3 linked regions of the Notamacropus eugenii genome follow. The protein of the gene in region 2 interacts with the protein of the main gene of each other region in a biochemical or structural test. Links are inferred from orthologs where the notes say so. Each region holds a gene or a part of one and is shown on either strand. Other genes may lie near its edges.

Region 1 (10,140 bases), about 280 Mb from region 2:
AGGTGAATTTTAATTGAAAAAATATGATAAAAAATGAAGATGTAGCTGGGAAAAAAATCTTTGCAGTAAGTAACTCTGACAAAGTTTCAAAATACTAAGGAATTGACTTAAATTTATAAGAATGAGAACTATTCTCATTTTCAAAGGAAGCAATTCAAGCTATCAATAGTCATATGAAAAATGCTTCAAAATCATTAAAAATTAGAGAAATGTAAGTTAAAATAGCTCTGACATTCTGTCACACATTCTTCATATGGAAAAGTTAATTAGGAAAAAAAAAGAAACTGACAAATGTTGGAGAGGCTTCAGGAAAAGAGGCAAATTAAAACACTCATAAGAGAGCTGTGATATGGTCCAGTCCTTCTGGAAAGCAATTTAGAACCATGCCTAAAAGGTTACTAAGCTTTTTGTAAGCTTCAACCCAGTGATACCACTACTAGGCCTGTACCTCAAAGAGATCAAAGAAAGAGGAGAAGGACTCATATGTACCAAAAATATTTATAGCAACTTTTTTTGTAGTGGCAAAGAACTGGAAACAAAGTGGGTACTCATTAAACAGAGGACAAATTATATGTGAATGCAACGGAATATCATTGTGTTATGAGAGATGAAGAAAGAGATGGTTTTTGAGAAACCTGGGAGAACTTGTATGAACTGAGAGGGAAGTGAGTAGAACCAGGAGAAAAATTTATGTAGCAACAACATTGTGAAGACAACTTTGAAAGATTTAAGAATTCTGATCAATGCCATGATCAACCACAATTCCAAAAGACTGATGATGAAGTATGCTACCTATTTCCTGACAGAGAGGTGATACATTCAGAATGCAGAATAAGATATATATATATGTGGCCAACATGGGAATTTATTTTGACTATACATATTTCCTTCAAGGGTTTTATTTTTCTTTTCTTCAGGGGAGTGGCATAGTATGTGAGTTGGGGAGAGAAAATCCTTATTAGTGGAAAAAAATTAAAATTATAGTTTATTAGAATAATCTCAACTAATTTTGAGGATATCCCTGATGAAGACATGAGAAGAAAATAAACAGTATTCTATGGAAGACTATACTTTTATGACCAATTAATAAATACTTAAATACCTAATATATGCCAAATACTGCTAGAAGCTGGGGATGCAAAAAAAAACCCAAACAAACCAAAACCCCAGTACCTACCCTCAAGCAGGAGGAAACAATCTATATACGTGGTTGTTGTTGTGTCTGTCCTTCGTTTTCAAAGAGGATCATGATGTCAGAGAAATGACGACATGACTTGCACTTGACTTTGTTTTGAGTGAGGGAGGGCTATGCAGGTCACCAGTTTCACTTTCTCCTCCTGAGCACTCTGGATCCAGTGAGCAGCTATTCATCAGGATGACTGGGGATGGCCCATGATGCAATGTGAGACCTTGACCTTTTAGGCTAAGGCCTTTTCAGGTACTCACTGAAAGTGAGGTAATTCCCATTCAGTGAATAGGCCTCTTTAAAAAGTAGTCAGGGGGTTGGCCCCTTCAACAGAAAATAAAATAAATAAATATATAAATATTATATGTATACACACATATACACATCAAATACAAATACATCTAAATTTTCAAATACTTAACTATAAGCGATCTGATCAATCACTTTAGACCACAACCCACTCATGCCCGTCCTGTGCAGTTCTTGTAATTGTGCGTGTTTAAGTACTTATAGACAAAAGCTAGTGAAATTCAAAAACACCTAGGAAATAAAAGAATAACTATAAGTTCCTTTACATGTATAGTACATACAAAATAAATAGAAGGTAATTTCAAGAAGGGAAGACACTGGCAACTGGGAGGATCAGGAAAACATTTCATTTAGGAGATGGTATTTGAGAAAAGCCTTGAAGGAAACCAGAAATTCTAAGAAGCAGAGCTAAAATGAGGTGAGGGCAAGTATGTTCAAAGCATGAAGGCAAGTACAAAGGTACAGACCTGAACGATGGAATGCTACAGTATATGTAAAGGAACAAGAAGGCCAGGTTAGTAGCATTGTAGGAAGCCTGTAAGGAAAACAATGCATAATAAGCACGGAAGGGTAGATCTCATAATTGATTGAAGGGTGCAGAGAAACTTTGTATTATATTTGTCTGCTGATTTTTTAAAAAATTGCTTTTTATCACCTTAAAGCCTCTCCTGCAACAAGATGTCTTCCATGCATGTTAGAAATTATATATGATTCCTTGGAAGATGTAAGAGAGAACTCTATTCAATGAACCTCTGCTTATTAATATCAAGATAGGGACTGGACATCTGAGATGATGAGATGTCTTCTATCAATGTAAGTTTGGCCTTTCTCTGCAAGTCTTAGAAAGTTACCTAGATGTTAAGTGATTTGCACAGGGTCACAGGCAGTATGCCCAGGGATGACATTTGAAACTAAGTCTTCCTGGCTCTGAGGCTAGCTCGCCCTCTATCCACTATGCCACTGTTGTTCAGTTGTGCAGTTGTGTCCAACTCTTCATGACCCCAAAGGCACATCCTTCTGTCCTCCATGGGTTTTTCTCAGAAACCACTCCAATGGAACTCCTTTCCTTAGAACTCTCCATTACAACCTGTCCTTCTTGGGTAACTCCATATGTCATTGCTCATAATGAAACTATATTATGTGGAATTACACAAGCACCTCTGCCAAAACAAGGAAGAGGTGATCCAGGAGGGCACCACTGTGCCATGTGGTCTCACTATTAATATCAAATGAAGCTTAAAACAGAGATATGTTCGTCAAAGGTGTTGGCACTGTCATGCAAGATTTCCAGAACTGAGTCCAGGTGGAAGATGGTGATCTTATAAATGGTGATGTTCCTTTCAGATAATGATAGCTGGCATTTATATAGCACTTTAAAATTTACATAGCAATTGTTATACGTGACCTCATTTGATCCTCACAACTCTGAGAGGCACATGATAAAATCTCAATTTACAGGTGAAGAAACTGAGGATGAGAGAGGTTGTAACTTGCCCTGTTTACATTCAAACTCATGTCTTCTTCACTCCAAGTCCAACATTCTATGCATTTTGGGTCACCTTGCAGATGTCATTGTTCTGATAAGACCTGCAACATTGTAGATGTAAAAAGGATCCATAATCACTCAAAAGAATTTGGTCTATTTATCAACATAGAAAAAAAATTAAGAATGCCTATTTTCTAAATGAAGTAGTAAGATGATCTATCACTATATGGACAAACAATGCAAAGAGGATAGGTGGGGAGAGGTAGAACTGAACAGGAATAAGAGCAAGCTAAGGAGACTGTTATTTTTATGATCCCTAACTTCTCCATATAACAAAACTCAATATTCTTTCAGTGATACTATATGGCCGTGATCATGAAATACCATATTTTCCAAAGCATCAAAATTATGGGTAACATCATTAAAAAAAGCATTATAAAAAAGCAGTGCAAAAGATCAAACATGATCCTTTATACTTCATTACACATCAAAGTGATGTCTAATAGCTAGCTAGTATTTATACACCAGGTGAGGATTTGCGAAGGGCTTCCCTCATGTTATCCCATTTGATCCTCAACTCAACTCAGTATAAAAACAGCCATTTCCAGATCCCAGGTCACAGATTCTCTAAGGCAGGATTTGAGTTCATGTCTTACTAGCTATACCACCTGGCTGCCATAAGGCATAAGAAAGTTGGCTGGTCATGTAGCAAGAGTGAAGGACAACAGAAGGTATTGGCAGATAGAAGGACAAGACCGTGTTCCCCACAGTTATTCACATGTTAAGAGCCAGCACATTGGATACAGGAGGCAGAGGCAAAGTCATACTGAGTGAGAAAGTGCAGGAGTGAGTTGTGATTGGTACGTGGAGGGAGAAGTCATATGGCTGATACCACAGATCCTGTGAATTACTGGCTTAAGAATTTTGTTCTCTTTCATAGAGCAATTTACTTCACCTTTTAATTTTGTACCTTCCTATGAAGAGCAACCTGCCATCTCTCCAACTACTCAACGGAACACCAAACCCAATTTTAAAAAACCATTCTTTTTTCACTAGTTCCTCTTTCTGCCATGGCTAAGTTCCCATTATTTTAGTTCTGATTTGTACTGGTATCACTAGCGTTCATGCACGTATTTTAACTCAGCTGATCTTCACAACCCTCGGAGGAGGTGGTGGTAGGAAGGCTGTGGAAACTGAGACTTGTCTGAGTGAAGTAAAGACAAATCTTTTTCCTCTGGTCGGTGCTTTTTCAATACTTTGTAGATACCATGATATAACTTCTTGGCATTTAATAAAAACTCCCTTGGAATAAAATGCAGGCTAAGCCTAGGAGCAGGAGAGGAGGACAGATCTGCGGCTGGAAGGTTCTACAGAGGAGGAAATCGGGCTCGGGAGGTCGGAGGCCAGGTCCGGACCGCTGGCAGACTTCGGCTTCACTCACGAGGTTCGGCTCAGTCCGGACTGACACGGACTCGTACATTTCAAAGGATCCTGCCCGGGGGCGGGAGCTTCCACTGCGGGACACCGTGAAGCACACGCACACGCACACAGGCAGCCACAGCACGGTTTTAAAACTGAAGGGAAACGAGGTTTTCTAAAGTTTCGGCAGCCGGGGAGGCGCACAGGGCACACCCAGGGCCGGCCTAGCCCAGCGCGGGGCGCGCCGACGGGCGCAGGAGCGGCCGCGTGGGCTTCTTCCGTACGTCTTCCTCTAGCGGCGCGGCGTGGCGCGGCGCAGGGCAAGGCGGGCGGCGAGGTCCGCGGGGGCGTGCGGCGCGGCGTGGCGGGAAGCGGGGGGCGGAGGGAGAAACTACGAAAACGGGGTCAGGCCGGGGCGAAGGCCAGGACGGAATGAGGGGAGCGTTTAGTAGGCGGGGGGCAGGCAGGCCCTGCACGCCGGAGGATTTTCCCGAGGATTCCCGGCCCTGGAAGTGGTGAAGCGGCCGGAACGAAAGAAATGGAAACTTAGGGGAAGAAGAAGAAGGAGAGAGGGCGGGAGAGCCACCTCCCAGCCTTCCTCTGGATTGGCCCGCCCCCTCCGTCACCCGCGGGAGCCCTTCGGGCCACCGTAGTCCGCGCCTCTCCTTTTCCCCGCGTGGCGCCGATGACGCGAGGCGCTGAGAGCACTCTTCTTACAGAGGTCCCTTTCTTCCGAACAGTCGGTTGCCCGCCGCTGCGCCTGCGTGGCTGAGAGGGGAAGTGAGGCGGTTTCCTCGGCGCCTTTTCCGGCTGTGGCTGGGGCTGAGCTGGGAGGAGGAAGAGGAGGCGGCGGCGGCAGCAGCGTCGGCCGGGGGACCCTGCATACAGGGCGGTGGCCGGAGGTAACTGCTTGGGCTGGGTGGGGAAGGAGGGTACTCAGGTCCTCCATTTCTTTCCCCGGAGTTCCGGCGGTAATCCCCTTCTCCCTTTCTTTCCTCTCTGTCTCCTTCCAGGTAGCTCACCGAGTCCCTCCGGGGATCAATGACCTGACGAGGAGCCGGAGCCGCCGCTGTCGCTCGGGTGGCGAGGGTCGGTGTTTCGGCGGGCGGGCGGGCCGGGGTCTCCGGCGGCTGCGGGGCCAGGAGAGACGGCAGGCAGCCCGAGGAGCGGGCCGAGCGGGAGCGGCGGCGGCGGCGCTCGGTGCCTGGGGGGGAAGGGCAGTTCCGGGCTGGGCCTCACCAGGGCGGCGGCTCCCCGCGGCGCAGCTTTTGGCCGGCGGCGGCGGCGGCTGGAGGAAGCCCGTCTTGGGGCCGGTGATGTCCCACTGAGCGGGGCCCCGGGACTCGGCCCCTAGGCGGCGGCGGCTCCCCCATTGCAGGCCGCAGGGCGTCCTCGCGGCTGGGCGGGACCGCTTCGGTTTCCTGGAGGCTGCGGCGGCGGCGGTGCCTAAGGGGACGCGGGACACCTGAATGCCCCCAGCCCCGGCTTCTCCGACGCGATGGGGAAGGTGCTGTCTAAGATCTTCGGGAACAAGGAAATGCGGATCCTGATGCTGGGGCTGGACGCCGCCGGCAAGACCACTATCTTGTACAAGTTGAAGCTGGGCCAGTCGGTGACGACCATCCCCACCGTGGGCTTCAACGTGGAGACGGTGACTTACAAAAACGTCAAGTTCAACGTGTGGGACGTGGGCGGCCAGGACAAGATCCGGCCGCTCTGGCGGCATTACTACACCGGGACCCAGGGGCTGATCTTCGTGGTGGACTGCGCCGACCGAGACCGCATCGACGAGGCCCGCCAGGAGCTGCACCGCATCATCAACGACCGGGAAATGCGGGACGCCATCATCCTCATCTTCGCCAACAAGCAGGACCTGCCTGATGCCATGAAACCCCACGAGATCCAGGAAAAACTGGGCCTGACCCGGATTCGGGACAGGAACTGGTATGTGCAGCCTTCCTGCGCCACCTCAGGGGATGGACTCTATGAGGGCCTCACATGGTTAACCTCTAACTACAAATCCTAATGAGCATTCACCGCCCATCACACCCCCCTCCCCAACTCCCCTCAGGAGAGAAATAAAAAAACATTCATAGGATTATCACCACCATCACCTCCAAAATGCCACTTTCTCTTCTTTTGAATATGGACTCTGGAGTTACTGTTTTACTGTTTGGGGGGGCTGGGGTTTGGGGGGTTTCTTTTGTTTGTTTTCTTTCTTTCTTTCTTTTTTTTTTTTGCTTTGCTTTAGGACGCTCTAGTCTGACATTTGACATGAACACAAAGTACTAGGTGCTCTTGTTGACTTCCAGCAAATGGGGTGGGGGAAAATATAGCAGCTCTTGAGATGGTCCTTTATAATAATGGTTTGATTTTTTTATTTTGAGGGAATCTTTTTTTTCAATGTATGTCTCCCCCCTTTTACCCAGTTACCTTATCACTTGCTGTAGATGGCTTATTTTGCATTCATGCAGACGATGTTGCAAGTCTGTTTCATCTAGTAAACTGAAAATTATTGCTTAATCAAACTGCAGTCTGTCTTTTATATTTAAGGACTCTTTTTTTTTAAAGAGTTCTAACTTTAGTAATTTCAGGTGTGTCTTTTCATATCTAAAACTAGAATGGTAAAACCTTGCCTGCAGTGGCAAACAAGTGATACCATTGTAATAACTTGCAAGTGCAAATCCGTAATGTTAAGCAGGTAATGTAAGAAGTGCTTTGAAATGTTAGCTATTAAGTTCTGAAACATACATCTTGCATGACTAGGGATAAGACCAAATTTGCTGTACCACATAGCTAGCTGTTTCCTGAATGAAAATGTGAAAGTTTGAACAGGCCATAGATCTCGTATTGAAAAGTTAGCAGTTGTGTTGAATTTTCTCTCGTTGCTTTTTTGTTCACTTCCGATAGTAGTGTAAGAATTATTCAGGCAATAGAGCAATAATGGTACACACCACTTTGATAGCTGAAACATTTTGTTACATTTTGACAAAACATGCTTTTTTTTAGTTGGCAGATAAGATAGCAAAAACCAGACAGTGAGTTTTGATAATTACTAGTCTGTTTATTGTGGTCAGTTCTGAAATATTTTTAAAAATTCAAATTATCAATCTTTTTTCCAAACTGCAAAAGCAAACATTCCAGTTTCCCTATCGCAGAAGCTGATTAAGTTGAAGAAATAAGTAATTTTTTTAGAGTTTACAAATGACCTATATCTTAATTATCAGTGAAAAAGATGGATTATTTTTTAAAGTTTGACTTAATTTTGTGAGAATGTAGATTTAATTCATGGAGGTGGTAATCAGATACTTTATTAGTTCACATTTATTTAAATTTAGAAGGAAAGGAAAATTGATAGATGACTAGATAAAATCCACTGATAAGAAATGCCAAGTAAATAGTGGAAAATATGTAGGTAATGATCCTACATATGACGATGAATGTAAATTTATAAGTCTTGTGAAAGATAACCAGTTTGTCCGTTTGTCAGCTACTGTCAGTATAACTAGATTACATTGTTAACCAGATAGTTGAGAGTACTTTGAATCAAATGTTAATAACTTGATATAGAATTGTGCAGCAGAAGCTGGTTCTTAGCCTCAAATATTAATTTTTAGAGATCATTAAAAAGTTAAAATTTGGAATTTAAAGAATGTATACTATAAAATCAGAAATGAGGTGGTGTGTGTCTGTATGTTTGTGTGTGCACTTGGGGTTTATGAAAAATCCGCAAAAGTTTGAATGAGACATCATACTACAGTTGTGCAGTATTAATCCTGCATGTTTTTTGACCATAAAATGTATGATGGTGCTTTTTACCAAAGATATGAGGGGGCTTAAGGTTATAGAAAATTCACTTCTTGACATGAAACAACTTGGACAAATATTTTACTTAATAGACTAATAGATAATAAACTGTTTCTATAGAATTTATATGGAATAGGAATTAAAATTTCTGCTGTAACTTAGCAGTTTAACTTCATTCAGGGGCAAGGCCTACTGAAAATTAGGTTGAAGAAATAAAACATTTTGGGTACCCTTACAAAAGATTTCTAAGGCTCCATCATAAATTTAATTCATAGTCTTTTGAACGATTCTAATTTTTAAGGTACATAAAATGTTTGTAAAATGATATTCAAATATCAGAATGTACTAGTAACATCTGGAATAAGATAAGCACAGAAAATTCCCAAACTGGAAGAAAGTTGAAGCCCTCATGCTAATAGTTCTTGAAATTCTTTTTAATGTGTCTTTTTTTGGAAACAAGCAGTTGGATTGGTTAGCTTTCAATTTTTTAATATTAAAACAGTGTTTAAAAGATTTTTATATGCTTAAGTGATTTCTTTTGAATAGGTGAAAAGGTAATGAAATTATTTTCAGGTTCTTTGAAATGTCTGAAAAGGGAAAATGAACATTTTGAAATACAGTAGAACTTTGAATACCTTTTAGTAAGCAATTGTAAATTTTACTTCAGATTTTCCTTAATGAATGAAAAATAGTTTATAATTTTTCTAGTTAAATTTAACCATAATCATTAGTAATTATGGGGCTGGTAAATACAATCTACAGGGGGAAACAATCATATCTTTTAAGAACTCCAGTTATTTTTAAGGAACAATTTGAAGTTTAAAGTGCATCAAGTTCTGTGTTCATGTTTTATAAGATGCATTAAGTTTTGAATGAGGTTAATCTTGTCTGAAAAAAGTAAATGAGTCTCTAGACTATCTCCCTAACAGTACAGTACTTGGAATTGTGTTTTTAATGACTGTAGTGTTGAAAAAGAACTAATATGCAGAAAATAAAGAAATTACACAGCAGTTTCTCATGGTATATTACTTGTTTGAAACAGTCAAGCATATGGTATATTGGGTTCCTGTGCAGAAAGTGTATAAAGTGGTTTTGTTGATTTGGGGTCATCGATGTGATATTTGTCTCTAGTTTTAGGAAGTGCATGTTCTTGGTTTCGTAAGGTGCGTTTGAGCTTTTACTTTTTTATGCAGAAAAAGTTAACATGAACAGTGATAATTCCTTGATTTTAAAATAGAACATGGACCAGAGATATAATTGAGAACTACTTAAAAGCTTCCATGTAGCAGCTTGTTATGTGACTATTCACTTATATTATGTGGATTTTTGGAATATAGTTACATTCACAAAGAATGTGGCCTACTTTACTTTTTACATTTTAGAAGTCCTACAGGGAGGGCTTCTTTGATAAAGATAGAATAGCAGCTGCTTATAAAATGGATTAGTAAATGAAAGCTACTTCATTTTTTAAGAATTCTTTTTTAGAATTCTACAGATATTTCATTTTTTAAGAATTTTAGGAAAAGTCATCAAGACCTTAGTGTCGTTTTTTAAAAAATACCCTTCGACTCCAGTGAAAATGTACATGATTATATGCTGAGTCCTCTGGTTACTTAAATAGTTTCATCCCAATGACAGTAATTGAAAATTTCTAAAATGTCAAGCATTTATGATAAGTGATAATTATATAGTGTGATATAGTAAGAAAGAACACTACATTTGGAGTCAGAGGACATCGCTTTGACTCCATACTTGGTACCTGTGTGACCTTGAGAAAGTTGCTGAACTCTCAGTTTTCTTATCTGTAGAATGAAGAGATTGGACTAGATGATCCCAAAGGTCCCTTCCAGCTTGAAATCTTACAATGCTTTGTTATGTATTAGCCTTAACTTATTTTTATGTTGGCCTATATATAATAGCTACAATACAAATG
Region 2 (10,489 bases):
TCATAAGTACAAACTGAAGCCCATCCACATTCTTAAGTTATATGGCACAGTCAATGGTTAAAGATCACACAATTATATAGAAACCAAAGACAAAGATATTGTCAAGTCCACATGGCAAAGAGAAAAGGCTGCAAAATAGAAACACTATCAGCACTATGGCAGAGACGACCAACATGGTAAATGTGGAATTGATACGTGTCACTTCTCAGCTATACCTTCAGTCCAAAAAGAAATACTAACACAGATGACCTTCAAATGCAGATATATGTCATTTAATAACAATGAAATTAATAGATATTTTCAGGATGTAAAAAGGCAACAGAAGACAAAAATGGCATATCAATGCACTATTGTTGGAATTATGAATTGATCTGACCATTCTGGAACATAATCTATAACTATTCTAGAAAGGGTACTAAACTTTATATACCATCAGATCCAGGGAAATCCCTATTAGATGTGTAACACAAGGAGATCAAAGACAGAAAGATCTTAATGTGGACAAAAATGTATTTTCTATGGTAACAAGAAAAAAATTGAAACAAAGTGGGTGCCCATCAATTAAGCAACAGCAGAATGAATTGTAGTATGTAAATGTAACATTATTTGCCCCAGAAGAAATGACAGCTATAAAGATTACAGAGGAAGTCTTGTCTAAATAAACTGAGGTAGAACAAAATAAGCAGAAAAAAGAGAACTATCTCTGGGCAAAGTTCACAAGAGTATAAAGAAAAACCTGAAAGACATTAGTAATCTCTGATTAGTGGGGGGCTCTCATAGGTCATAGATCAGGAGCTGAAAAGAGCCACAGAAGCCTATGTCTATTTTACAGATGAGGAAAATGAGGACACAAGAGATTATGACTTACTCAAGGTCGTTCAGATAGTATGCATAAGAGGTAGGTTCTCTGATCACCTTCCAACATATGAAATGGGGCACAAGGCCAAGGTATTGCTTTGTTATGCCTAAATATATTTTTTTGTTTCAAGGAGGGCTTTGGGGTGGCGTGGTGTCATTTAGAAGTGACAACATAAAGATTTTTTTTTTAAGTAGGCTCCACACCTTCCTAGGCTACGCTCAAAGAACCATGAGATAGATAGCTATATTGTCATGTGTGTACAGTATGTTTCAGACAATAGATATCATAAATATTGTGTTTTTATAGGTAAGGCTGACTTATAAACATCATTACAGTAAGTAAATAGTATTCTGAATAGTTGATATTACATTTTATCTTTAAAAGGATTTCTGCTTAAATTGTGAATATACTTTAATGCCCAATTTAATGCTGATGTATATACAAGAAGCCACCAAAGTATAAAATCCTATCAGAACCACATTTAGGAACTTGTCATTACCCTATAGTTTACAAAACAGTGGGTACAGATAGCCTTCTAATAAAACATATTACTATAAACTAGGTCACATAAGGACCATGATCTTGTGCCATATACATAAATGCAAATATGTATCTGAAAATGATGAGCCTTAAGCTGCGAAAAGGATGGTAACTTAAGAATCACTTTAGACAAGAACTTGTAACAATGTGTAGTTTTCAACTAATGTTGAAAAGCAGACAATGTTTAATGAGAGGTTTTTAAAAAATAAGAAGAATCCTTAAGGTAAACTAAAAATTTAATTACGTCTATCACTATCAAAATCTTAAGAGATTTTTCTGATAGAATCATTCAAATCCCACATCTGCCACTTCCTATCTGTGTGATCATGGTCAGATCACTTTACTGCTCAGTGCCTCAGTATCCTCATCTATATATTAGGTAATAGCACTTGTACAACCTACCTACCTCACAGGTCTGCTATGAGCTAAGTGCGTTGCAAACCTTAAGAGCCTATATACATGTTATTATTATTGATGACTAGTTTAGTCATGGGGAAAAACAATTATGTGGCCTTAGTTTCCCTAGTTGTAAAAGAAAGGGTTAGAATAGATGAGATTGGGCAAGTAATTTAAACTCTCTGGGCCTCAGTTTCCTCATCTATAAAATAAGGGAGTCACTCTAGATGGTCTCTGAGGTTCCTTCCAGCTCTGGATCTACAATATGCCATGATTATCTCTTGTTGGAAAGAAGCCCTGTGAGGAGGCCCTGAGTTGAAGAGAAGAGGAAGGAGTGACAGGCAGGAGGAGGCATCCCACCCAGCAGTAGCAACATCACTGCAGGCTGTGGCTGCCAAGCCAAAAGGCTGCTTGCTGACTGTACAGAGCCCTTGAGCTTCCTGCCTGGTAGCTCAGGCAGAGGGAGTTTGCCTGAGGTTCCAGAGGTAGCTGGTTCAAACTCAGCCTTTCCTTCCAACGCTAATCATCTGTTAATTTGTGCATTTAGTAATTAAATAGTTCAAAGGAGTATAGGCAGAAAATCAATTGGAGGTAGGGAAAAATAATTCTACTTTTCTTGGCTCTAAATAAAAAACCCCATTATTTAGAAAAATTCCTAACCACACATTTTAAAATAACTGTTCAAAACTAGAAGCTACTAATATGTCCTTCGCAGTTACAGGATTTTATAGGTCCTTATGTATTACCTCAACCCCCCTCCCCCAAAAACCCAGCTATAAGTTCAGGTTTTTGATTAAGGTTGGCCCCTCTAACTTTATGTCCAAGATTGCTCTAGGCTAAAGTTGATAAAATTATCCTTACTAGATCTAGAAGATATTTTACCGTATTTGTGGGAGAGTGACACAAAAACAAAATTTTAAAGGGGGGGAGGGGGAAAAAGATTCAAAGAAATATGATCAGAGATAAAGGACACTACAGTGTGGAAGGGGAAAAAACCCTCCCAACGCTATTATCTTTGTCCATACATTTCAAGATTGCCCAATATTTAATGTAAACAGATATACTAGTGACATTATTTGTTCATGATGGAAAATCAAAAAGATAAATTTTCAGATGAAATAAAAACACATGGGAGGCACATAGTCAAGGACATACAAACAATTACCTAAATCAGAGAAATGTTGGATTATATTACCTGTTCTGCACCATAAACCGTAGCAAATTGAACAAACTCTTCTATACGGACAAAACCATCCCCATCTCTGTCTAGGGCATCAAACACAGCTCTGAGGCGAGGGCCATCTTCCTGACACCCGGAAGGCTCATTTGGAATTGGTTCAGTCTGGTTGAAATCAGAGGGTTGGCCCAGGTTATTCTGAACTATATCTAATTTCAGATCACACAAAGTGGAAGTAGTGAAAGAGGGAAAGAAGTTTATTTCATTACTAATTTGGTAACTATGATTTAAATCCTCCGCACTTAACGAAACACTTTTCTGGCATCTTCCGGGCACATAATCCTCTGGCTCTTTAGTCCAGGAAAAAACTGGATCAAGTCCTGAGAGCTGGGTTTTGGTGTCCGGGGGAGCAGCCTGGTCCATGCCTAAGTAAAAATCTCTTTGATCCTGAAGAATGTTATCCCTTTCTCCAAGGCGGTTTTCCGTACATGATTCCTGCTCCCTAAATTCCATGCTCAATTGTAAATCCTGCGGAGGTGACCGAGGTGGGCCCAATTCCAGAGCATAGAGGTCCTCCTGCTCCTGCTCGTCAGAACCTGTTAACCGGTCGGAGACTTCGGGATCCTGCCCCAAGGTAAGAGCTGTATTAAAATCCTCTTCAGACGAATCGTTAACCACACCTAGCAAAGACATCTGCTTGTCACTGACAGATAAATCCCGGTCGGGGTCCGCGACAGGAGTATGGGTCTCTTGGTCCAAAAGACAGAGGTCCGGATTTTCTAACCGATACAAATAGTTGATGGGTCCTTCAGAAAATAAGTCCTGGCGGAGCTTCACCTCCCCCAAAACTTGCTGGAAAGCCACAGACCCCTTTTCCTGCAGAACAGGCCCTAAAAGCACCGAGGGCTGCGGGGGGGTCTCTGGAGGAAGCAGCACCAGATCGGGACCAGGCACCTGCCCCCGGGATTCCTCCGACACTTTCTCCAGGTCCATGAGGAAGTATTTCCCTTTCTGCTCCGGGAACAGGTCCCCGAACGTCAGCAGGGAGTCCGACGTGGTCCCGGCCGATGCGGACAGAGTCACGAATAAATCCGGCTCCATTTTCATGGGAAGGAGACTGGCCGGGGAGGCCAACGACGGCGAAGCAGCCCCCACCCCGCCCCCACCCCTCAGGGCCGAGGCCGGGCTGCGGCCCGCGACGGCGGGGCTGCGCGGCGGGTGATTCCCTGCGGCTCGGGCCGCAGACAAAAGAGCTCCTCAGACACCGCGGGAGGAGGAGGAGGAGGAGGAGGAGGAGGACGGGCGGCGGCCGCCGAGAGCATCACTGCATCCGTGCGGGCGCCGCTGCCCTGCGGGCACCCCCAGACCCTCCAGCGCCCGGACCAGGCGAAGCCGCGGCTGGGGCCGTCGGGCCCCCGCATCCATCTTGACCACCGACGCCCCTCATCTCTCCGCACACACCGGGAGCGGCGGGGGGGGCCCCATGGCGGCTGGGAAGAGGCCCACGACGAGGGGAGGGAGGGATGGGGTCGCGCTGGGGAGCGGTGGGGGGGCCCGCGAGCCTAAGGAGAGAGCCCACCGCCCTGGCCGCTCTGTTCTCGGGTTCGATCCCCGAAGCTGAGGGGGCGGAGGGTAGCCTGAAGAGTCGGGAGGCAGCTGAGCTCGAGCCCTTAGCCCCGCCCCTTCTCCCGGCCGCGTGGCGTCAACACGTTCATGAGCGTCTGGATTGGCCCCGCCCCCTCCGAGATGACTATAAAAGAGCGGCGCGGCGGTCTGACTAGGCCCCGCTGCGGCGGGCGCCGGCAGGGGTGGGTGTGCTGCGAGGAAACGTGGGAGTTTGGAACTGGCTCCCTCCTCACGCCCCAGGCTCTTTGTCTCCGCCTCCTCGAAAAAGGAGGTTGGAGTGTGGGAATGGGGCTGCTCCAGGTGCCAAGCCGCGGGAACGTACTGGTGGGCCCTGTGGCTCTCCTCCCTCTGGGGGAGGGCGAGGGGGAAGTTAGAACTGCGGGGCCGCCGCTGCCGAGGCGGTGACGTCACCTGATTGCCTTGTGCTGGGGTGAGCGGAGGTGGTGCTGAAGGATGGGGCGATCTGGGACCGCACCGGTTCCCAGCCTCCTCCCCCACACCCCGCGGGAGCCTGGGTGCCGTCCTAGTCCTCAAGGAGAGGCCACCTTCACCATAAAGTGGCTGAGGGTGTGCGGCGCGGCGCGGCTTCGATGCCCAGGACCGCCCGGACGGCCGGAGCGTCCGTGGTCCTCTTGCCTCTCGTAGTGGCCATCCCTCCGGGATTCTCGCCTTAAATGAGGGGCTCCCTCCCGACTGGGAGGACCTCTGAAGTCCGCGCCCGCTTAGAGGGGAGGGGAGGGGGGCCGGGGCGGCCCCACCACAGACACACCCCATTCTGCCCTTGCCCCGGGGGAGCCGCCCCGCATTCCTCTCTCTCCATCCCTCCCTCCCTCTCCCCTCCGCCCAGGGCCGGGCTGGGGAACAGAAGCTCTTTTGGCTCGACCTCCCGGGAGCCGGTAGTGGCCAAGGTCTGGCTCCCGGGAACCTGCGGCGATGCATCCGACTTCTGACCGCGGGCTGTCCGAGCACTCACCCTTGACAAGTTCCTAAAGCGCTTGCCCACGGAGGAAGGCAACAGGGGGCTAGAAACTGTCCCAGAAACGAAGAACTGGGGATGCGCCTTGCGCATAGTGGGTGCTTGATTCAGTGTCTCTTAAAGACCTGGCAGGAGGGGAAGTGTTTTGTCTGGGTTGTTCTGTTTTTCCTGAGGAATGGACAGGATTTATTAGATTGGTTTAACCACGGCTTTTCCCACAATTGTAATAAGCGGGGGGCGGGTAGTACAGGGATTCTCCCCGTTGTACAGATGAGGGGAAAGGCTCAGAAAGGGGCAAAGTGATTTGTCTATCTACCAGTAAGTGGACAGCCTGCCAGACTGCAACCCCACCCTAGAGTTCTTCCCACCAGACAAGAGACAGGACTGTCTTTTGCCTCTTTTTGTAACTCCAGCGCGAGCGCCTGGAACATAGTAGGCACGTAATATTAAATAGAAGGATTCGACTTCTGCTTAGTCCCAAAAGTCAGACCTAGTAATAATAAGTCTAAGTCCTATGCAGGTAAATTTTGATGCGAATTAAGGACAACCTTCCTAATAGAACTGTGTTTTAAAAAATGGAATGTGCTGCCTCATGAGGTAGTGTGTCTCCCATTTGCAGAGCTCTTCAAGCCAAGCGCACATAAAGTTGTTGAAGAAATGATTTGTTCAGCCTTTGGAGATAACCTGGGAGGATCTTTTCCAGCTCTGAGATGCTGCCGTTGTTTTGTGGTTTTATTTGATCCTCTCTACAGCCTTGTGGGGTAGACTGGGTAGAGAGCATTATCCCCATTTTACGATTGAAAGTAAAGCACGGAGGGTAAATGACTTGCCCCAAGATCACAGAGCTAGGAAACAGCAGAGCTCATAATTCAATCTAGGTCTTCTGACACCAATTCCAAAGCCCTTTTCACTACAACAATGAAAGAGTGTAGTTGGATAACCACAGCGTATTGTACTGGTCCTGGATGAACATGAAGAATGACAAAATCCCTAACCAGCAGAATTTCAATCCCTATTAACCTGTGAAAACATTTAAGATAGCGTTTGGGTTGCATGGCAGTTGACAGTCTCTCACGTTTTAGAGGCAAACAGGTAGGTGTTAGAGAATAGAGAAAAGGGGTCGTGACAGCTTCAGGAAGGGTGACAAATTAGCATATGGCAGAATTTATGATGAATATAATTATGAACTGTTATCTTACCACAGAAGAGTATCAGAGTTGACAATGGGCCAAAGAATAGGTTACTTCATCCTGTCTCTGTGTGTAGCCCTGATAATTAACTGACTCATCTCCAAACCTTCAATCACAGGAGGACTACAGAACAGAGTGTGTAGTGTGTGTGTGTGTGTGTGTGTGTGTGTGTAATTTTAGGAGGTAAAAGAAGAAAAACCCTCAGAACTATTTTCTAAGTTGTAAGAGCCAAGTCCTGAAACAAGTGAATTATTGTGTTCAAGGGAGATAAAGACCTGCTTCTGATTTCAACAGGAATTTGAAAATAGACTCCTGACTTTAGCCGATCAGTTTTTCACATGAGTTTTATGTCAACCTTACTCAATAGAAGGGTGGTGTTAATGTGGATGAGACAATAGTTAGAATTCCTCCGGCCAGATAAAGAAAGGTTTCTTGCCTAAGAGCTCTGTAGAAGGTGGAAAGCTGGTTTGGTGTGTAAATGTGCCCTATTGTTTCAGAATCTCGGGACTGAAAGGGACCAGAGGGCATCTAATCCAATCTGAACCTGAACAAGAATCTCTTCTACAGTGTACCAAAAGAATACTTCTCTGGTTGCTAAAACTATTTTGTTGACTGACTCAAGTGCTGAAGTTTAAAATCATAACAATAAAAACAAGCATTTTTCTGCTTAGTTAAAAAAAAAATCTACCTCAAACAGAAAACTAAAATAACAGTTCACTCTAAATGAATCATTTTAGTAGCATGTTGTAATCAGGTTTTCAATTTATTGCATTCTAAACTAAATTAAATTAACTAAGTCTTGCCAGCAACCAGTAGCAGAAAATCCTTTACTACCCTTTTGGCAAGAATCATTCTCTCTTTTAGAAGTAGAATAATTGAGACGTGGGAGAAGGTAGCCAGGAAGTCTTGATCATGCTCCACCTACTTTTGGAAGCTTTTTCAGATTTTCTTCCCCTCCTTTCCACACACTTACCCCAGTAAATGGGATGGGGGCTGGGTGAAGTCTGATGGGTTTTCCTTCTGGAATTAATTACAGGTTTATCTTCCCTCCCAATAGAACCTAAGCTCCTATGACAGATAATTTCCTTTTTGTGTTAGCATCTCCTTGCCTAGTAGGGTGTCTTGGGCATTAATGGCCCTTAGGAAGTATTTGAATTGGAGTTGGGAACCTGACAGGTTTTATGGCCTGACAGCATATATGAATGTTTGTTTTTTAAATCAACCTGTGAAATTCTACTTTTGAAAGATTGTGGGAAAGCTCTCTCCTTTTGTGTTTATTGAGCAGACTAAACTAAAACTAAAACTTTTACAGAAAGCTTTTTCCAATCCCTCTTAATTTTACCAGTTGAAAAAGACTGTGTCTCCCCCTCCTCCCTCACACACACCCTTTGCTATAGCCTGTCTCCTCAATGTCCTTGAACATTTGTATCCCCACCTCACTGCCTTTGCTCACATCATTTCCCTTAACTGAAATGCCTGTCCTCTTTTCTACTCAGCCCTGACCCATTCTTTCAGGCCCTGAGCATCCCATAAGTTCAGAGTAATCTTATCCTCCTCTGGACTCCTAATTCTCTTGTATATAACCCTCATTTGGTATTTGCCGTATACTCACAACATATATATTCATGTGTGAATTTTGTCTCCTCTAAGCTGTGATCTCCCCAAACTCAGGGCCTAGGTCCCCAAAATGTGAACTCCCCAAGTACAGAGTCTAGGTCTGTTCCTTGTTTGTCCCTGTAGCAGTGTGTAGCATAGGACTGGGCACATAGGAGTCAGTGGGCTGCCCATTTCCCACACAGCATAGGAAGTCACACAAATAACCTTTCTGTCAAGAAACTCAGGAGTCAAGTAATCCACCTTCTTCACCACCTTCCCACCAGATTTATAAGGAACTCATTGACTCTGAATTGAGACCAATCACCTAAGGGAGGAATTTGAGAGCAGAGCTTTGAGCTGAAGTGTGAGGTACCCGTGTCTATACATACTTGTGTGTATCTGTGTCTTCGTGATACCCTCTTCCCCATCCTTCTCTAGGACTGGACACAAGGACTTAACACAGAGTTCCCAGTTGGTAACATGACAAGCAGAGCAAAGCCCAATTCACACTATAACCCTTTGCAGTTATGTTGTCCCCATTTTACAGATGAGAAAATGAATATGAGTTTGCCTAACATTCCCAGGGTTGCTTAGATGTTAAACCCAGCTCTCCTAACTCCCTGCCTAAAACTTCTTCCATGAAAGTGCTACCAATCCTAAAATCTCCCACTACCCCTCCTGGGTGACCTTGGGAATCTTGGATGGGGAGGACAGGATGAGGTTGTAGATGAAGACAGGGGAAGAATAGGGCCATTGCTGCCCTTTCATAGTGGCCCAGCTCCTCCATAGATTCTGACACTGGAGAGCAGAGTTCCGAGAGCTGGAACTGACTGGGGAGAAAGCTGATCATGAGTGGGTAGGACTGGCAGAGCAGCTAAAGCTACTGGAAGGCAAGCCTCAGGAGCAGTCGGATTCCTACATCTGCCTCTGTTAATTATTTCCTACTTATCTTGTATGTAGCTTGCTATATGTATTGTCTCCCCCATTCAATTTGAAACTCCTTGAGGACAGGGACTGTCTTTTGACTCTTTTTGTATACTGAGCACTTAGTGCAGATCCTGGTACACAGTAGAACTTAGTAAATGATTAGTGTTTGGCTGATTGATTGAAAGAGCTGCTTTCTTTAACTCCTTTTCTTGGGGATGACAGTATGGCCTCCAAAAGGGAAAACGAGAGAGGGCTGTTCAGGAAGGAGAGGGGCAATGAATCGGCAGATTTCCTTCAGAGCATCCTCTGACTTTCTCCTGCCAGGATAGGCAGATGTAGGTCAGGAAAACCCATGGGTAGAAAGTAAAAGAGTCATCATGGCGGTCAGACTAGGAGAGCAGTGCTGTCTCTCCAAAGCTTAGCATTCGTTAACGATGGCATTCTCATCATCATTGTGATCATTAGCTGTAGGTTGAAATTTAATGCCTGATTAAGAAGAGAAACCTGAAAGTCAGTTCAAAATGAAGTGCTGGGGAGCAGAGTGATGTTGGGCAGCCCACAACAAAGATTCTAGCAAGTGTAACGGGTTGGGAGAATAGAAAAATGGAGATGCATATTCCAGTGGGGAATCTGTTCTAGGAGAAATGAGTCACAGGTTTGGAGCGTGTGACTGATAACAAGTTCTGGGAACAAGAGCCCTACAATCTGCTGTTACCTTCCTCCTTTCCTATACACCAATAACACCTCCGCCCCCCAGCCAGATAATTCACGTGCATCTCCACCTGCATGTACTCCATCAAATTCTTCTCCTTCTCTGCAATGCTCTACCCACTAAATGTTAACTCATCCAACTCCTTAACTTCCTTAGAGCTTTTAGTTTCATAAACTAGTTTTAGTTTAAGTCTAGTTTTAGTCCCATAAAACCTTCTACTGACGGCCTTAAGCCTCAACACCCATTGTACTCCGTCACTCACTTCATTTATGGGATGAAGCTAATTTGAATTACTTTGTGTTTACTTGTATAGACATTTAGGTTTATCTCTCATCCCAACAGAACCTTAACCACTTGAGACAGGAATGATTTCATTTCTAGGCTTGCATCTCCATGCCTAGTACAGTGTCTTGGACATTAGTGGCACGCAGGAAGTATTTGAGTTGGAGTTCATCACCTGACTGGTTTTATGGCCTGACTGAATATATGG
Region 3 (9,894 bases), on a different chromosome or scaffold from region 2:
GGACCAAGAGTTTATCTCTTGCCAGAAGACCACCAGCTACTATTAGTTGGGAGTTTCATAATCACTTGTTTCTCCTCTGGACTGAAATGCAAGATAGTCAATATGGCTGTAAGTGTCTGCTGGCGACCCAAAGAGTCAGACAGAGTTAAGAAGCGGTAGATTATATTTTTTAAGTACTCCAGATTGGCCCCCTCCCTGCTTTGGTCCCTGATACTTTTTTCAATGTGGCTTTGTAGAGCACAGACTTGTTCTCGGTGCTGCTCACCCTCCACAATGAGCCTGTCCTGAAGTTGGTGTACCTCCACCTCAAGCTTATGCTTTTGTTTCCTCAAAGATGTTATCTCAACTTCCTTTCGAGCCAGCTGTTCAGCATACAAGAAGAAAGTAGGTTCATTTGATGCAGCCAGGTGCAGAGCTTGGGTCAAACTATCTGGAGATGAGTCACTTAGATCTCCATTACTCCCTTGGCCTACCGAGGCCTTATGTCCCTGCAGCCCAGAGCACAAAGCCACAGAACGGAGCTGCTCCAGCTCCAAGTCCTTTTCGGCAAGTACTGCTAGAGCACGATCCCTCTGTTTGTGAAGTTCTTCTTCAAGCCTCAGTGTCCGGTCCCGGAAATCAAGCTGGCTTCTCTCCAGCTCCTGCCGATGAACCTGCTGCAGCTGAGCCAACTCTTGCTTCCAACTCTCTGCCTCTTGTTGGTGTTGCCGTTCTAGCTCTTCACAGGACAGTCGAAGGGAAATGTACTTCTCCTTCAGCTCTGCAAGCTGCTCCTGGCTTTCCTCCAGTTCCTTGGCTAGGTTGCCATCCTTGGTTGTCTTGCTCTTGAGGACAACCTGGGCCCTCATTTTGTACCGTTCAAACTCCTCTTTCAACTGCTTTAGCTCTTGCTGGTAGTAGAGTGCAGTAGCCTTTTCCCCATCAGCAGCATCTGAATTTGTCAACATCTCTATTTCACACAATTTTTCCATATTCAGAGACACCTGGCTCTTCCTGGCTGCAATCTGCAACAGTCTCCTCAGTTTCTCCATCTTATCCTTTAGAACATTGACATCCAGGCTGGTCTCCTCATTGTGACTGTCCAGGGGAGAACGGCTGGAGGCTGCAAGAGCAAGTGTCTTATTCTCCATATCCAGCTGCAGAAGGCGATCCTTGAGCTTCTGAATTGCCAGCTGATCCTTTTGTTTAGCCTTCTCATAGGTGCCCAGAAGTTCAGACACTTCTGAGACTTGGTTCTCTAGGGCAGCCACCCTCTGTTCCTCCATCTGAGAATACTGACGGAGCTGCTCCTCTGCCAAAGCAGTCTAAAAACCAAGGAAACAAAAAAGATGAATTAAGAGAGAGTGCAGAGCTTGTCACTGAATCTAGGAAAGGCAGAGAAGAGAGAGGGCACTTAAATAGGATGTGCTGGTAGGAATGGGAAGAACTTTAGAGAACTTTTTCATTGATTCAAGCACCAACAAAACTTAAACTATTATCCACTCCCATTCTGCAACCCTGCCCTCACCCCTTGAAGACTCAGAATTTATCTCACCAAATAATATTAAGGTCATTTTCTGTGACTTGACAAAAATCACATGAGCATTAATACTATTACTAGATCAAGTCAAAACAAATGCATTACACTTATTCCCTGAGAAGCATTGTCTTCAGCTCAAGAAGCTAAAAATGAATCCTTCTCCATGAATCCCTGATCCATCCAGTTAGAAATTTTCTCTCCCGTTTTAAATTTTCCTGTGACACTTTATCTAGATTTCTCCTTTGCTCTTCTCAAACACTATCCTGTATTATACTTATCTGTGTACATGTATTGTTTCTTCCTGACACCTGCTACCCAGTAGAGTCTAAGTTCCTTGAGGCCTGGAATGTTTTTTTTTCCCCTGTGTAATCTCATTGCCTGGCACAGTGCCTTAGCACATGACAGATACATGTTTATTGAGTGTTCATGAACAGTTCTATTCTGCTTTCAGTTTCTACATTTTTGTCACACGTCTAGCATATTATGTCTATCACCCTTAATCTGCTGTTTATCCTCAGGAACTGCACGCTCCTGTATGCTACCCCTGCCTAGCAAGTCCAGAATTGAAAAGCGGTATTCTCATAAAATCCAAAACAGTATTCTGGGATAGCACATTCATCTCCAAAACAAATCCTGATTGAGAACAACTGAAGGAAACTGCCTCCTTCTGAAAAAAATATCAACCACACAAATAGAATACAGTACTTCACTGTTTTCCTTAACACAGCTGTTAAGAAGCCAATGCCTAGAATCTGGAAGCACTCCAACTTAATTCCAGACAGCACCCACAAATACCACATCCCCTTAGACGTATGTTCTGTAATTTTTGTAAACATCAATTAGACCAAGATTTTCCAGTAAATTTGTCCATGAGAAATTTTGGGTAAGGACCATGAAAATAAAGGAATTGAAAGCATGAAGAGACCTCGTAGGTAAATTTGGTCCAAATCCCTCATTTTGTAGAAGAGAATACCAAGTTCTATAAGATAAAGCAACTTGTCTATGGGTACATAGCTGTAAGTGGCATAGTAAGGATTTGAACTCTTATTACAAATTTAGCACTTCTTTCAACTACAGTATAGGGTTTGAAAAGAAGAAAAAGTCTAATATTTTTAGTCACGCATTAAGCACCTATAGATTTGAATCAGATAAGGTGAATTACCTTCCTCATTTCCTGCTGCAACTGGGACTGGAAATGACTCTTAAGGTGGGCAGCTTCTTCCTGAAGCTCTTCCAGCCGTGGGTCTGGATGAGTCTTCTCCTCTCGAAGAGCCTGCAGTTCCTGCTTCAGTTCCTCCACTTCGTGGGTCAACTGTTTGATCTGTAACTCGAACCCTTCCACCTGGTCAGCTGAATAGGCCTGTCCAGCCAGGGCTTCCCGGGTCTCCTCTAGCTGCAGTTCAATATCCTGCCGTAAGGTTCTCTCTCCTTGTAGCAGTTTCTGCAGCTCCCTCAGCATCAAAGCATGATCACTCTGCTCCTGGGCTCTGTCATGCTGCTGTGTGATCAACCTGGCTTTAGTCTCTGCCATCTGCTCCTGCAGCCCCCTGAGCTCCCCCTCCAGTCGGCTCCTTTCTTCCTCAGCCTTCCTACCGGCATCCTCCAAATCTTGTTTCATTTTCTTTTTATCAGCCTGGTACGAGGCTTCCATGCGGGACTTCTCTTGTGTCACTGTGGCCAAAGAGCTGGTCAGGGTGGTCAACTGGGTCTTCAGTTGGTGCAAACGTTTGTCGATCTCCCCGCCAACACTGGCTGGCACATCCCCACTACTGGAACTAACGCCACTCTCCGACCCACTGGCTTCCTCAGACTTCGGAGGTGCTGGACCAGCGGGCAGTCTCTCATCTTCCACCCCGAGATCACCCTTGGTGCTGGTCAGACTGGCCGTTGTGTCCAGGCTGGTGGCAGTACCAGTGCTGTCCTCACTGTGAGTGGAGCACCGGTCATCCACAGCCTCGGCCAGGGGAAGGCCTGGGGCCTGGCAGGCATCGTCAGCCTCGTGGGACGCCGAGAGCACCTTGAGGCTGGCCTCCAGGGCCTCCTTCTCCTTCAGCAGGCTCTTATAAGCCCGGACCACGTCCTTGAGGCGGGCCTGGTACTGCAGCAGCTGTTTCTTCTGCGTCTCTATGGTCTCCAGCAGGTCCTTCTTGCTAGGGCCCCCGCCGAAGTTCATGCCAAACTTCTCCATGGCAGGGGCAGCTCCCTGACGTCACCGCTCACGGAGTCTGGGGTGGGGGGGACAGTGCGGGGAGGGGTCCGACCTTACGCGCGCTCCCGCCGAGGGGGTGCAGCTGCCAAGGCCGCCATGTCAGGCGCTTTCCTGGCTCCGGCCCCAGAGGGCTAGCGGGGCAAATGACGAAGCCAGCAGACGCCGCGGCGCCCCTCGCTCCCTTCGCCCCCGAAGCGGGACAGACCGGTTCCGGCTCCGATCCTAACTCGGTAACCACTTCAAGTCAGTTGTCAACAACGCTTCCGGCTCCGCCGGAAGTGCAGGTGGGCATTCGGGATAGGCGTGCGCTCGGGGAGGAGAGGTGGGACGTAGAGCGAAGGGGTGGGGCATAAGGAGAGGGGCGGGGCCTTTGAGCGCCAAGGGGAGGGGCCTCGAGCGCCAGTCGAGCTGCTGCGGTTGCTCTTAGGCGAGGCTGGGCGCTGCTTCCTGGGGTCTGAGCTGGTCAGGGTATCTGATGCAGTGGAGGGGAAAATGCATAGAGAGACCTGTATGCACGACTGCGGCGCAGGGAATGGAGGCGACCCCCTGCCAGATCTAGGACCACCAGTTCTTCACCTCTTTTTGACTCCTGGACCCCTTAAAGCACCGTATAAATGATATTTGTTAAAATGTCTGTAGTGCTTGAAGGAGAACCCCGCCCCCCATGGGAAGCTGGGGACGGGAGTATTGAGGGGCTGTTCTCCATACCTCTTGTTACAGGACCCTGGGCAAGTCACTTAACCTGTCTGCCTGTGTTCTCATCTGTAAAATGGGAATGAAAGCACCTACCTTACAGGGCTGTTGTGAGGATCAAATAAGCAATTTGCTTTAAGTACTATACGAATACATATTATTCTATTCACCAGTCTAGAAGATCCAGAAAGCTGCAGCCATTATGGTCAGGTGCCTCCTGAGAGATGTTTGCTCTAAATTTGCAAATTGGCCATCTGCAGATCTCTGCATTCAATTCAGCAAGTGTTTATTGATACAGATGTCTAGCATTTCGTGGTGTAGTGGAAGTGAATCCTGAATTTGTGAGTAAGGCCTGAGTTTAAATCTCTCCCCTAATATCTTTCTACCTGTGCAACCTTGGACAAATCACTATTTCTCTTGTTCATTAAAGTTTCCTAATTTGTCAAAAGAGAGTAGTGGATAATCACTTATGACCTTTCCAACTCAAAAGACCTATTGTTGAGGCAGCTAGGCAGCACAGTGTTTGGAGCACAGTTCCTGGAGTCAGGAAGACCTGAGTTCAAATTCAGCCTCAAACATTTACTAGCTGAATGACCCTGGGCCAGTCACTTAATTCCATTGCCTCCAAAAAAAAGCCCTGTTTTAGAGGTGTATTTATATAACTACAGAGAAGAAAAGCAGCAAATCTGGGGACTGCATCTGAACTTGAATATGATTTCTTCCCCTAGATTTATGATCTAAAACTTATTTTACTTTTGCTGTATCCTACCAGTCAATTTAATTCAAGCATTAAGTTACTATGTGACAAGACCTGGGCTAGAGGTTGTCAGAGAGATACAAAGTACAAGAGGAAATTTCTGCTCTAAAGAGAGAAATTCTTACTTTACCCTGCCTCTTATTTACTTGAGGTACAGGGAATTGTAAGTAAACCACATTGGGGTTCCTTAGAATTAATGCCCTTGAAAAAACCCAGCTCCTTGAAAGCAGGAACTGTCTTGCTTGTATTCATAACCCCCGCACTCTGCACAGTGCCTGGAACATTTTAAAGCACTTAATACTTATTCTGTTTATTATCATTGGTGTTTATTGTAGGTCAGTTGTGATACCTGAAACTCAGGGCAGAAGTCCATAGATGCGTTCCTTACTTTATAGTAGAAGCAAGAGGTTAAGGTGATTTAAAGCACATAATATTAATGTTTTATTACCATTGGTGTTTATTGTAAGTCAGTTGTGATACCTGGAAATATGGGCAGGTTCCGTAGATTCCCTCCTTACCTTGCAGAGGCTCTGGGAAAGAATGGAAAGAGGTTAAAGAGTAAAAAACACCGCATCTTGGGGTGCCCTGGCAGGCATGGGGAAGAGAAGCTGCATCTGTTACAAATGATCCTGATGGTGGGAGGGATGATGGGCTCTGAGGCAATATTCTGGAAAGAGACCCTAATTTCTTTCTTCAACTTGCCACAAACACACAAGGTAGACTATTCCAGAATGCTGGGGGGGAGGTACGCGTTCTTCCTGAGCCTTCTTTCTGTTTCAGTTTTTCCTGGCGTAAAGAAGTGATTTAGAGTCAGAAGAGCAGGGTTCGAACCCCATCTCTCCTACATCCAGGTGACTGCGAGCAAATTACTTCCCTCCCAGCCTTAGCTTCCTCCTCTGCAAAAAGAGAAGGTTGGGCTCTAAGCTCTTTAAGGTGTGCGGGATGGGGGCGTGGCCTGGGTGGGGGCGGGGCTCTTCGGTGACGTCACGCGGGTCCTGTAAGCGCGGAGGCGGCTCCGGTTCCTGCTGCTGCTGCTGCTCTCCATCCCCCCAGCAACCTGCCGGCTCCGGCTCCGGCTCCCGGCTCCCCGCTCCCCGCTCCTCCCTCCCTGGCCCAGCCATGGGCCTCACGGTGTCCGCGCTCTTCTCGCGGATCTTCGGGAAGAAGCAGATGCGGATCCTCATGGGTGAGGTCCCGGGCAGCGTCACGGCCCCGCATCCCTCCCTGCCCACGGAGTAACGCCCTCCGCCTCCCCCGCAGCCTCGCCGCCCCCGCATCCCTCTGCCGCCCCCGCAGCCTCCCCACCCGGCCCTGCGCGCCCAGCCTCGGCCTCCCCTTCCGAGCCGGGGGTGAGGGTGGGGGTGGTCGAGAGAGGAGATGAGGGAAACTGAGGCACGGGGTGGCGGGTGAGGGAGGAGAAGGGATAAAAGACCCCCGGCCCTCGGGAGCGGGGGGCGGGGTTGGTAAGACAGGTACGGCCTGCAGCCCAGCTGGCCCAGCCTGCAGCCTCCTCCGCTTTGCAGCAGCAGCCGGAGCCTGCGGGCGCCCAGGCCGGGAACCTGCCGGCCTGGGCGGGGTTAACCCACAGGCCGGCCGCCCGCCCCCACGCGAGGCCCTTGGACACGACTGGAATGCCTCTCTGGAGAGGCAGCCCCCGTCCCTGTGGGGCCCCCACCTCCTTCCTTGAGTCCTGCCCTCCCTTGAATCCGCAGGCCCACTTTGGGTGGGGTTTTTTGTTTGGCCCTGGGCGTGCGGGTTTTTCTATGGAGGGGAAGAGAAATGGCTCGTGATGCCCAGGTTTCCCTCGGACTCCCCCCTAACGTAGCTCCCCGGAGCGGGAGATGCACGTTGAGACTTTCCGATCTCATTTTTCCCGTTCCCGAGCCCTCTCCCTCCTCGTCTCAGTCGGAGCTTCTCGGGTACCGTATCCATTACCCTGCCTCTCTATTGCAGTCGGCTTGGATGCCGCAGGCAAGACCACGATCCTCTACAAACTGAAGCTGGGCGAGATTGTCACTACCATCCCCACCATAGGTGAGCTCCTGGGACGGAGGGGAGGGCTGGTAGTCTGTGAGCGTCCCCTGTATTTCCTCTCTGGGGCCTGACCCTGACACTAGATACAGTTGCTCCAAGAAAGTAGGTCATGGTGTCTTTGGCTGATGGTGCCAGGATGTGGAAGCAGCAGCCCTGGGCCCAGTTCGGTTAATTCTTTTAAGTCTGCATGATGTTCTTCTGGGGGACTCCCAGAAGTTCTCCTGACCAAGCTGATCTCCCGTCGCTTTTGTAGAGTTGAATGTACCTGCCCACATTACAGTGCCCCTCCTCCCCCCCAGGCTTCCCCCCCTTTTCCCTTTCCTCACAGGCTTCAACGTGGAGACCGTGGAATATAAGAACATTTGTTTCACCGTCTGGGATGTGGGAGGCCAGGACAAGATTCGGCCTCTCTGGAGACACTACTTCCAAAACACTCAGGTGGGCCAGAGAGCACAAATAGCTAAATAGACACATACAGTTTCCCATGGTTCCCCGTTACCTACAAAATAAAACTCATTCCTATATCTGGTATCTGTTAAGCACCTACTACGTACCAGACTCTGTATTAAATGCTAGAGATAAAAATAACACTTTGCCCTCAAGGAACTTTTATTCTACTTTCTAGCAATTTCTTCAATTATTCCCTTTTTGAGTCTAGCCACCTTGACCTAGTCTGTGTTTCTTAAACAAGCTTTCCTCGCTTTATGCTTCTATTCATGGCTCCATCTACCTAGAATATTCCTCTTTTCACCCTTCTCCCCACTCCAGTCTCCTCCCTCCACCTGTTGAAATTCTGTTCATCCTTCAATGAAGGTCCCACCCAAATACCACTTCCATTTCTGTGAAGCTTTCTCTGCTTTCTCCAGTCAGAAGCACTTTTTCCTTTCATGTTTCTGTAGTTTTTGCTTATATCCTATCTCTAAGTGGTCCTCATGAAATTCTTCCCCACGCAATATTGGTATACCTATCCTTGTACATTAATAAGTGTTTTGAGAGTAGATAATATATATGTATATATATTTTCCCTCTTAGTGCCTTGCATATAGTAGATGCTGAAAAGGGAATTAGGTTTTAATATATATTGTTTTGTTTCATTTTTTGAATGAAAGACAGTTGAGTCCATTGATGGATGAAAGTGGAGTTATAGAAAATGTAAGGAAAGGGATAGAAAAGATAGAACTATGGTTCATTTTCTTTGGGTGAGCTAACTGCTCTTTCTTCCCACCCTAGGGTCTTATCTTTGTAGTGGATAGCAATGACCGAGAACGGGTCCAAGAATCTGCTGATGAGCTTCAGAAGATGGTGAGTGCCAGATGGGCTGTGGAAAACATTGGACATTGAGCCCTCTCTCTCATGAGTCAGAAATAGCGGAGACCGTAGAAACACAGACTAGTTTTCAGTCTAGGCCAGGAGATCTGAGTCTTTTTTTGGTTTTAAAATCTCTTGTGTTGATTCATCCTGGGTAAAGAAAGAGAAAAGTTCTCCCCCTTATGTTATGGGATGAAGCAAGTAAAATAGTCTTTCTTTTTATCCTTCTGTCATGTTTATGTGGGATATTGATCGAGGTAGGGAAGGGAGATAGGTTGTGTGTTGTATCTTTAATATGTTGAAGTAGATTTCTATCCCATTTACCAAGAACAGCTATGGGTCATTTTATAGGGCCAAGGTGATTTCATTCAGATTAATAATACTATTTTATTTTTATTTTAATGCCTGTGGTATTATCTATATAGACCAGCATTTCCTTAAGCAATCTGGCTATAGAACAATGTGAGGCTTGAAATATATAAATTATATAAAGCACTTTCAAATCCTGGTCTGGGGACACAGAGTACTTACAGAAAATATAAAGTTGAAAAATGTTAGTTTAGAGTCAAAGAAATTGAACCTATTTTAGTGCTGAAAAAAATTGCATGTAATAAATATTTTTGATACATTCATATCTAATATTGTAGAAGAGGAAAATATAACTTGAATTGAGATCCTTCTCCCAGAAACTGCTCCCACTATGTAGATCATCAGGGTTCTTTAGAACCCAGTTTGAGGAATGTTGCTATGAAAATAACTAACTTTGATATACCAAAAATATAACTTTGATGTATAGTCAAAAAATTCATAAAATACTTTTCATATTATATATGAAATATATTCATTATTATATATGAATAAATATTGTTATAATATTCTTATATTATCTTAACTTCATGTGAGGTAAGTGGAACAATAGTGTCCCGTTTTACAAATGAGGATTGTAAATACTGGATTCTGTTTTACCAGTTAGGATTGTAAATACTATATTCTACTGACTGTAGAATACTCTTGCCTAGAGGCAGGTAGGTGGCAAAGGGGATAGACTGCTAGGCCTAAACTGAGGAAGACCTTAATTAACTCTCACCTCAGACACTAGCTGTATAACTGTGGGACAAGTCACTTAACTTCTCTCTGCCTCAGTTTCCTCAGCTGTTCTATGGGGAATTCACAAGTGCTCCTACCTTCAATGGTTATTGTGTGGAACAAGTGAGATAATATTTGTAAAGTGCTTACTTAGCATAGTGACTGGCACATAGGAGGTGCCTGATAACAACTCATTCCTTCCTACAGTGTTTGTGATGAATCCTTATCTCATCTTTCCTTTCTTTTCCCCTGTCAAGCTCCAGGAGGATGAGCTCCGGGAGGCCGTGT

The links.
Region 1: the proteins of RAB11FIP3 (region 2) and ARF6 form a complex in vitro, tested with the Homo sapiens proteins (2 studies listed by BioGRID). The link is inferred for Notamacropus eugenii from reciprocal best matches to the Homo sapiens genes RAB11FIP3 and ARF6.
Region 3: the proteins of RAB11FIP3 (region 2) and ARF5 form a complex in vitro, tested with the Homo sapiens proteins (2 studies listed by BioGRID). The link is inferred for Notamacropus eugenii from reciprocal best matches to the Homo sapiens genes RAB11FIP3 and ARF5.

Annotation. Positions count from the first base shown.
Region 1 is NC_092872.1:332,280,881-332,291,020, forward strand, and holds ARF6 (ADP-ribosylation factor 6), read left to right. Parts: upstream 1-5,602; 5' UTR 5,603-5,898; coding exon 5,899-6,426; 3' UTR 6,427-9,217; downstream 9,218-10,140. UniProt on the Homo sapiens protein: GTP-binding protein involved in protein trafficking that regulates endocytic recycling and cytoskeleton remodeling. GTP-bound form plays an important role in the transport of multiple palmitoylated proteins form the Golgi to the plasma membrane.
Region 2 is NC_092872.1:54,401,520-54,412,008, forward strand, and holds the start of RAB11FIP3 (rab11 family-interacting protein 3), read right to left. Parts: upstream 4,080-10,489; coding exon 2,991-4,079; intron 1-2,990. UniProt on the Homo sapiens protein: Downstream effector molecule for Rab11 GTPase which is involved in endocytic trafficking, cytokinesis and intracellular ciliogenesis by participating in membrane delivery. Recruited by Rab11 to endosomes where it links Rab11 to dynein motor complex.
Region 3 is NC_092874.1:122,541,135-122,551,028, reverse strand, and holds the start of ARF5 (ADP-ribosylation factor 5), read left to right. Parts: upstream 1-6,113; 5' UTR 6,114-6,120; coding exon 6,121-6,364; intron 6,365-7,131; coding exon 7,132-7,212; intron 7,213-7,540; coding exon 7,541-7,650; intron 7,651-8,442; coding exon 8,443-8,514; intron 8,515-9,863; coding exon 9,864-9,894. Other genes in the region: GCC1 (GRIP and coiled-coil domain-containing protein 1), read right to left, coding at 12-1,304, 2,682-3,707.